2 linked regions of the Sus scrofa genome follow. The protein of the gene in region 1 purifies or fractionates together with the protein of each later gene. This does not show direct contact. Links are inferred from orthologs where the notes say so. Each region holds a gene or a part of one and is shown on either strand. Other genes may lie near its edges.

What was found.
Region 2: the proteins of TNPO1 (region 1) and NUP153 purify together in Homo sapiens (co-immunoprecipitation; 3 studies listed by BioGRID and IntAct, with this or other methods). This does not show direct contact. The link is inferred for Sus scrofa from reciprocal best matches to the Homo sapiens genes TNPO1 and NUP153.

The regions. Positions count from the first base shown.
Region 1 is NC_010458.4:49,047,345-49,051,705, reverse strand, and holds the start of TNPO1 (transportin-1), read right to left. Parts: upstream 3,021-4,361; 5' UTR 2,622-3,020; coding exon 2,607-2,621; intron 1-2,606. UniProt on the Homo sapiens protein: Functions in nuclear protein import as nuclear transport receptor. Serves as receptor for nuclear localization signals (NLS) in cargo substrates.
Region 2 is NC_010449.5:13,463,652-13,468,120, reverse strand, and holds the start of NUP153 (nuclear pore complex protein Nup153), read left to right. Parts: upstream 1-1,543; 5' UTR 1,544-2,113; coding exon 2,114-2,224; intron 2,225-2,342; exon of another isoform or gene 2,343-2,573; coding exon of another isoform or gene 2,574-2,642; intron 2,643-2,705; exon of another isoform or gene 2,706-3,043; intron 3,044-4,469. UniProt on the Homo sapiens protein: Component of the nuclear pore complex (NPC), a complex required for the trafficking across the nuclear envelope. Functions as a scaffolding element in the nuclear phase of the NPC essential for normal nucleocytoplasmic transport of proteins and mRNAs.

The sequences.
Region 1 (4,361 bases):
TAACTGCTATCCCACACTGAAAAGACTTGCTTTGTTTCACAATTTTAACCATTAAAAAGGCATATGTCAATTCAAATCCTGTGATCTTTCATCTATCAGATTTCTTTCAGCTTTTTTTCAGTTCTGAGTTCAAACACTGGCTCTGCCATCAGGTGCCATTTTTTAATAATATGTAGCCCCCATTCCTGTAAAGATTCACAGCTGCATTCCTATTTCCCGTTCCGGGATCTCATTTAACCACTGAGACTCTGGAACTCTTTAACATTCTCACTTATTACACCTACTGACAGTACTTCAAAGAACTCTAGTAAGGGGATCTTGGAGCAACCACACTTGGCTTCTAGAAACCACATTAACACCAATCCATGTAATTACAGATCTACTGTTATAACCTTTGCAAACATCTGTCTTCCATTGTAAAGTTCTTACCCCCTGCAACCCAGGAGACCCCTCTTACCTGCCAACACACACCAATTATCTACCACAGCACTAACTGAATGGAACTAAGAAAGATTTCCAACACTTGGGGGATTCAACTGTCTCTGATGCTTTTGCAAGGTGGTATTATTCTCCATTGTTTTTAAAAACTTCATCAGTTAATCAATTTTCTTTTCTCAGCTTTGTCACCCTTTTGTTGGTAAACCAAACTATTTCTTAGGAATAAGATCTTTTCAGCACCAATATGTACTCAAATATCAATTCCAGGAAAATATATTCATAATTTATACCCTGGGCAATAAAAATAACTCCCACTTACTGCCGTGTTCTTCTCTGCAGTTTATATTTGATAAATTTATTGCATTACATATGTCACTTGGCTTGGCTTCCTTTATAACCAAACTCCCTTTCTTAAAAACAGTATCTGCAGAATCCAACATGGTTAAATGCAAGCAATTCTTCTAAACATAGCACATTTATATTTCAATGCAGTTCTTTTACAGTATTTAGAAAAATTGAGTTTATGAGATGGCTTTAACATAATACAAAGAAGAAAAACTAGTCATAAAAACAATGAATACAATAACAGGTGTTGATAAAGGAAATATTTACAGCCAGCGTCATATATATTTTTACCAAGATCTTATTCTGCTCACAACATATAATGATAATAAGCTTGATTACTTTAAAAATAGTTTTATAGATATTTCAGTGGAAGGAATTTAATAATTCCCTGTATATTTACAAGACAATGTAATCACATCAAGGCTGATTTGGTGGCGGTCCTTTTTAGGAAAAAATGGAGCACTAATAATTCTTTAGGTTCGCATTAAATTAGGTAAAGTAAACATCATACTGCCAAACTGTTATGCATTTATGTATTGCATAAGCTGGGAAGTAAAACAGAAATCTGCACTTTCAAGCTCATATTTTTCTTTTGCAGTTGCAAGTTTTCAACTTGGCAGAGCAATTCTCTAAGAAGAACGGGGCGCAGGACAGGGTAAAAGTGGAAAACAGAATGTTTCTAAAAAACTGAATTCGCCCCTGATTCACTCATACAACATTTATCATTCTACTATGAAAGATGTGATTAAACAAGAAAACTTAAGATGCAAAAAGAACTTCTGTTATCCTAAAAATAAGCATGTCAGCACAGCCATTTTACAACCTTACATTCAAGTACCTACTACAAGATTCAACTTGTACTTTAAAAACATCTTTCAAGTTAAAAAAAAAAAAAGCACTCTTCATACATTCATTGTCAAAATCAATTTGCGGATAGTTTCCAACTTTAAATTTCTGTATTTTTAACTGCTGAAGGGCAGAATTGATTAGTAATTGTTAAGATAACGGACTTAAACTATAAGCAATCCTTGCAAACTCCAGCTGATTTTTAAAATCAGGAAAAATAACTGGCAATTGTTCTTAAAGGAAAAAGGCCACTCCCAAAACAGGTTGATTGGGGTAGCGGGTCCGCTTTTCAGTAGCAGTTCCCTGTTGCGTGTTCGCGTGGGTGAAGTACAAAAGGGTAGAGGCGCAAAAAACAAAAAACAAAAAAAAAAAACCCAAGAAACAAAAAATAGAAACCCACGCAAACCCCTCACAGTTACAAACATTAAAATTACGTAAACATGCTGTGAGGCCGTGAGGCCCCAAGGGAGAACAATCGTCTGGAGAAAGCGACCAGGCAGCTAAGTGTGGAGGCCATGGAGTGTGCTGACCCGGGACACCCGGGCAGAGGGGCCGACGGGGACAAAGACCAGGCATCCCGGGCGGCGCCCCACTGTGCCCAGAACCGGCGGGAAGCAGTTGTTGTGGGGCAGCGACTGCGGCACCCAGGGCCCTGAAACGCCGCGGTTTAATGGTCGGGAGCAAAAGCTCCCCGGGGAACCGACCCTCTTCCTGGCGCCCCTAACGGGTTTCAGGCTCCGACCTCAAACACCTGAGGAGCCGCCGCCCGCCCCTTATCCGTATCCCGAAGGACGTCCGGGCCGCAGCTGTTGGGCTCAGAACCGCGGCGCCGCCGCCGCCGGGCTCCAAACGGCCGGGTTGACACCGGGAAGGCAGCGGGTCCACTGTCTCTCCCCGTGGCGCGTCAAGGAGCTTCCCAACAGCTTGCCTCCTCTCCCGCCCTCTAGTCCGGGACCGCGAACCCTCACGCCACCTACCCGGTCCCACACCATCCCAGAGGCCTCCGGCGTTCAGACCCTCTGCCGAAGCGGCGCTGCCTCCTGTCCCGGGCCTGAAATGGCTGCGGAACAAAGAGAATCTGGGCTTCGGCGAGCGCCGGTCCGATTGGACAGGGGGCGGGGCTCGCCGCGGGAACGTTCGGCGGCGGTCGCCTTGGCAACGGCAGTCGGGCTGGGAAAACCGCGGTCTCGGCCTGCGGGGCCTACGGACCTACGCCCGGCGGCGCGTGGCAGCGGTTTCTAAGTCTGCGCTGCGGCCTCGGGCCTGGGCCTGATGCCGGGCTCCCGCTCGCGCCCCCTGCAGCCGGCGTGCCGGCCGCAGCCTCCGGCTCACGGGAGGAGCCGCCGCGGACGCTGCTCTGCGCTGTGAGGCCTCGACCAAAATGGCCCTGTAAGTGTGGCTCCCTAGGGCTGTCGAAGGCCCTCCTAGCACGACGACCCTCCTCTAGCCTAAATTCCATACCTCAGGACCACCTCCAAAGTGACAGCCTTGCTCTGGGAGCCTATTTCACACTGAACACGCCGCATGTCCCACAAAAATACAGTTCCATCGTCGCTGGTAAAAAGCAGAAATGGCTTCAATGGATAGAGAGTGGACGGCTGCCCGCTAATATTGCAGGATAGGCTTTTGAGGTATGCTGTGTCTAACATATCAACTGCTCTGTAGGGAAAATTAAATGACTTTGAAAATTAGGTTTTACGTCTCCGGGTGTGTATTCAAATTGGAGAAGTTTCTTGCTCTTGGAAATAACAAGTACTCCTCTCCGTAACCAGCCATCATGAGAAATTAAAATGGCTTATTTTCTGAACAGAAAATAATTCAAAATGGAGAGGTAGACGTTTTTTAGAGTAATTCATAATAATGGAAGTGAATAGATAAATATCAGTTCTCTTCCCCGACATTATTCTTATAAATACATTTACTATATGAAAATTTTAAATTCGCATAGCTACATCATTATTTCCTAAGGTGATGATGCCGCTGATAGTCTTCCTCCCATGGTCAGTGTGTGTAAAAATACCGGTAGTCTTGACTGACTTTCCAACTTGCAAGTGCTGTATCTATTATGTTTTGAAAATGTGTAGTGGTTGTTGCCTTCCAGGAGTATTCTAGATAAAATTATAGCACCAATACAAGAAAGTGTTTTTTATACTAAGACATCATGTTAATAACTGTTAATTATTTTCATTTACCACAATCATTTTACAAAAGAACTACTTAAATTTTGGGTCTAGAAGGACCATTTCTATCATTAGGGAATTGAACATAGCAAAAAAAAAAAAATTTTAAATAACTAAAATGTTCATAAATATGATTTCAACATTTTCTAATGTTAATTCGATAGCAATTGAATACAAAAATGTACAGCAAAAAGAGGCTTCCCAAATAGGAGTGGATTACCAAGAAAAAAAATTAATGTAAACCTTCCTAAATGGGAGTTTAGTATAACTGAAGGGATATTTATCTAGAATATGTGTATTTATCCAAATAACAAACAGGGTTTAAATTTAGCATTTGAAAAGTTCCATCATGGTATAGGGAGCCTTGTTTTGTACAAATTGGGGTGTGTGTGGTATCTTCAACTTTACTGAAGAAAAATGACAAGAAAACTTTGTAAATGTATAAGATTAGCAAATAATGACAGATGTAAAGAACTACTGATTAAGCCATTAGTAAGAAATTCACCTGATTAATTGTTTGGAAATCGTTGAAATGAATTGATGAAAAGCAAG
Region 2 (4,469 bases), on another chromosome or scaffold:
GCCTCTGGGGAAAGAGCTTGTGTACCTGGAGAGTCTAGTGAGAAGTTAGTGGTGGAGTTGGGGCATGAAGGTATAAAATGGAAGCACAAAAGGAAGTAGATTAATTTTGTCCATCATATTTGGGAACTTTTTATAGTCTTGGTGGTGATAAGGTCAGAGATGCCATTTGTTCTGTCAGCCTATGCTGGAAGATGCTGCAAATTCTAAGGTACTGCTTAAGTTTGGCTTCACCTTTTGACTTATATGATTTATATAGCGATTGGAATCATGCAATTTGGTGGTAGAGATGGTATAAAAGTCTTGAGGTTAATTATTTGTATCAGATAACTGGATGATATTAGATGCTTTCTGTCTAAGCAGTTATTATGAATTATGTATATTAATCCTTTCACCAGAACCACCAACTTGTTGAGGTTAATATTCATTCTATTTGCAGATGAGGAAACTGAAGCGTAGAAAGAGGATCAGTAACTTACCCAAGGCTACACAGCTAGTAAGTGATAGATTTAAAATTAAGTTTATTTGAATCCAAAGCTATTTATAAGCTTTAAAATCAATTGTCTCAAATGGAACATTAAGCCCATGTGTTTTCACAGAAGTAGATTTTCTTTCTAATCACTTGGTTACTTGTTTCAACTCCTACAGAAAAGTTGGGTTATAGTCCTGGCTTTGACTGCCCAGTTCAGTGTCCTCCAATATGTCGACTAAATTCTCCGGAACCCCGTCTTGTCCGTTGAATGAGGGCTGGCGCACGTGATCACCCAGATCTTTCTAACGGTCAACTTTTAAAAATCGCTATACTTTGTGGATTAAGTCTTTGAGCCTAACTCACTTTTCACTTTGCTAAATATAATGCCTTCTATTTGGAGCAAATATATGTATACTTTTATTACTGGTAATATACGGCTTACCTCTAACGTGAGCTTGACTGCTGTAGGTGATCACCGTAACCATTTATTGCATCTCTTGCATGCCAGGAAATACACTAAGTGCTCCACGTAGATGATCGCAACAGCTGTATAAGCTGGATTTTAAAGTTCCCATTTTATAGGGGCGGAAGGTTTTGACTTCAAGGTCAAACTTAAGTGGTGGAGCCAGACAGCACTTGTGTGTTTGACAACAAAGCCCTTATTGTAACGGACATTAATGAAACTGTATATATTTGCTAATTCTGTTTTAGGCTTAAAGATCATAGACACTGTCTTTTCAACCAGTTTTTTTCTTTTTATAAGATATTGTTAGCTTCTCTCTGTGATTTTACTATGTGCTTACTTTCTTCCCGCTTTACCATTCCAGAGAAGGAAAGTGGGAAGGAGGTTACCGTTTGTGTTAAATGCCTCTTTCAAAGTTTAGAATCAAGAGCAGTTAAAAGGAACGGAACCCCTGGCTTTGTGCCTCTGCAGGGAACCGCCGCTCTCCTTCCGCGTCCTCCGTTCTGAGCACGCGCCTCCTTCCGTTGAACTACGTTTCCCAGCGGCCCGCGCGGCTGAGAGCGCGGGCTCGACTAGCCCTTCCCACCTCCCCGCCTATCACCTGGTCACATCGTGATGATGCAAACTCGTCGCGCGCTGACTAGTGACGGCGTCCTGGCTCGCGACCGCAGCGGCGGCCTTAGTAGCGGTAATAGACGCAACAGCGGCGATTGCAGGGACGACGACGACGACGGCGGGGCGGGCGCTGTGCGCAAAGGGGAGGGGTAGGCGGGCGGCGCCGGCGGCTTCAACTGCGGCAGCTACGGCTAGGGCGACGGAAGAAGAATCCCCGTCAGCCGGCGGTCGCGTTAGGCCTAAGCAGCGCTTGGAACCTCTTGTGTTGTCCTCGCGGAGAATCTCCATAGAGACGGTGACATACACAGAGGCGGGGGTCCGCGGGAGGCTGCCGGACGGGAGCCAGGTCCTCGGCCTGTGTCGCCGCCACCCCCTTCGCTGCCGCCAGCGCGCATTCTCTCTCGGCTCCTGCTCGCAGACCCGCGGTTCCTGGTGTGCCTGTGACCCACTGTGTGGGCAGCGCGGACGGACTTTTGGGCTGGGGCCGGGCGGGGGGGCCTCAAGGCCGCCTCTGCCTCTCCCGCCCCCTAACCCGCTCCTCAGGGGGAAGCCGCGGAGGCTCCGCCATGGCCTCGGGAGCCGGAGGCTTAGGAGGGGGCGGTGGCGGCAAGATCCGGACGCGGCGTTGCCACCAGGGGCCAATTAAGCCTTACCAGCAGGGGCGACAACAGCACCAGGTACGGGACCCCGGCGCCTCGGGGCCTAGCGGGTCGGGCACTGGGGTGGGGAGGGAACGGGCGTGAGGGGTCCGGGGCCCCACGTGGAGCGGACGGGAGGGCCTGAGCGAAGGCCCGAGCAGGGCGGCGGGAGCTCGGGCCGCTGGGGTGGCGACGGGAAGTGGGCTGAGACAGGCCAATCTTGCGGCGCACACGTGTGGTTCGGGCCGCCTCTCCCCAGCCCTCTTAGCCTGGGGCTTTCCCCCGACCGGCGCAGGGCGGGAACAGAAATCCTAGGCCACGACGGGCCTAGGATTCTTTCGTTTTTGGCGGGGATTGGGGGTGTGAGGGTGTTACCCACGTCTTCTGGATGGGAGAAAGGAAAAGATGTGGCTGGAGGCCCCTACGTTTGATATTTTCTAGTCTCCCGCGTTTCAGCGTGAGTGGGGAGGGGGCTGCCCTGGGGTATCGGCCTCTGGGGCCCCCGGGGGTTGGTGGTGGTGGGGGGCGCTGTTAAACGGCAAGTGGAAGAAGTTACTCTCAACCTATTAGTTAATTCTCCATCTCCCCTTCCCGGGTGCCTCCCGATCTGAGAGCGTTGACTTAGATTTTTGTTTTCTTAACCGGGTTATAGTTAGTGGCACCGGGGCATTTTGAAAGTCCCTCTCCGCACTTACGTCTTTTTTCCGTCGCAAGACTCTTCCCTCCCCACTATGTCCACCCCTCCCCTTTTTATTTTGGAGGCTAGAATTGGCCATTGCGCACAGTTGACCGGAACTCCAGTTCTCATCTCATGCACAAAATATTTTAATATTATGGGACGTACTTTAGGAAGTTCAGGTACTTTTTAATAGTCTAGGAATATTGGTGGTCTTATAATTTAGTCACCTTGTGTACTCGTGGGCGCTCGAAATTATGAACAGGGGTTTAGTCTAATTGTAACTGAGATGTTAGAGTCTGAGAAAATTCTGCTTTTTAGCTGTTAATTGTTTGTTATGGGAATTGAGTAGGAAAATGTTAAATATTCTAATAAAAGGCCCTTTAAAATTTCTCGGTGGGAAGTATATGTCTTAAACCTGTAAAAAAACTAAAGTATGGCAAAAGGGTCTGAAAACTTGTTGCGTCCTGTTGAAGGCAGACTTCCTAGATTGCTGTGTTGTGGATGATAATGAATATGAGCACTTTGACATGTTTAGTGGTGGTAAATTGTATCATGAAAAAACAGAATTTTAAAAATAAAGATTTGGGAGAAATTTCTTAACAGTAAAAACTGGGTTATAATAGTAAGTATCTTTCTACTAATGGTTATAAGCCTTGGCATTATTGTTAGCTCCCACCACCAGTTGTCCCCCAGATATATACCAGGAGTGCTTGGTTTTTAGATTTCTTTGTGAGGAGCAGGGGTACTTGCAGACAGATTTGAGATTAAAATTCAGGTCACAGGACTGGCCATTTAACCTAATCCTTTTGGAGAGTGGAATTTAGACACATGCTTTCTGTTTTTCCTGAGGAATAAATGTCTTTCAGTGCTTTCTTACATCTCCTTAAAGTTTCTACATAAAAAAATGATATGTTGTAAATACAGATCACTGGATGATGTGGGCAGAGTGTAGAGAAGAACTCATATATTCCAGGTAGCAAAAACTATAACCGCACTTTATTTTTAAATGTACTTAGAGAAAAATCTGATTTGGGGGAAGGTGATGCCTTAACAACATTTAACACCTATGATCCAAATTGTCTTAGAGCTGATAGGATTTCAGACTCTGCAGTTTTGTGTTAGAGCTTGATCATTTATCATGTCGCCCTCTCTGAAATACTTTCAGCTATTTGCGTGAGCCATCTGATTGAAAAAGAAAGAACATTTTTAGGTTTTGAATTGGGATTAAAGATGTTTGGCGGTTTCTTGATTAACATTGCAGATACATTGTGTTAGTATTGGCAGATACTACCAAAGAAAAGTATCTGGGAATATACAAAAGAATATTCTATTTAATTTAACGATTTTTAAAATCTTCAAGACTTTCTTTAGTGCTTACTGGAACTTTTGTGGATTATGGACTACCTGCTTGCTGTCAGCTTTCCTGGGCTGTCACCTCTATGTTTTGCAGCAGCTGCTGAGTCATCATGAATAGCAAGGAGCTTCATGACATGGCATGTTTTATACTAATGTTATTTGATTAAGTGTCCAGTGGTTTCTGGGCAAAAATGAAGTTTTTGGTTGTGTAGTAGAGGGTTGGAATAAGAATGGGAGATCTGGCACTGT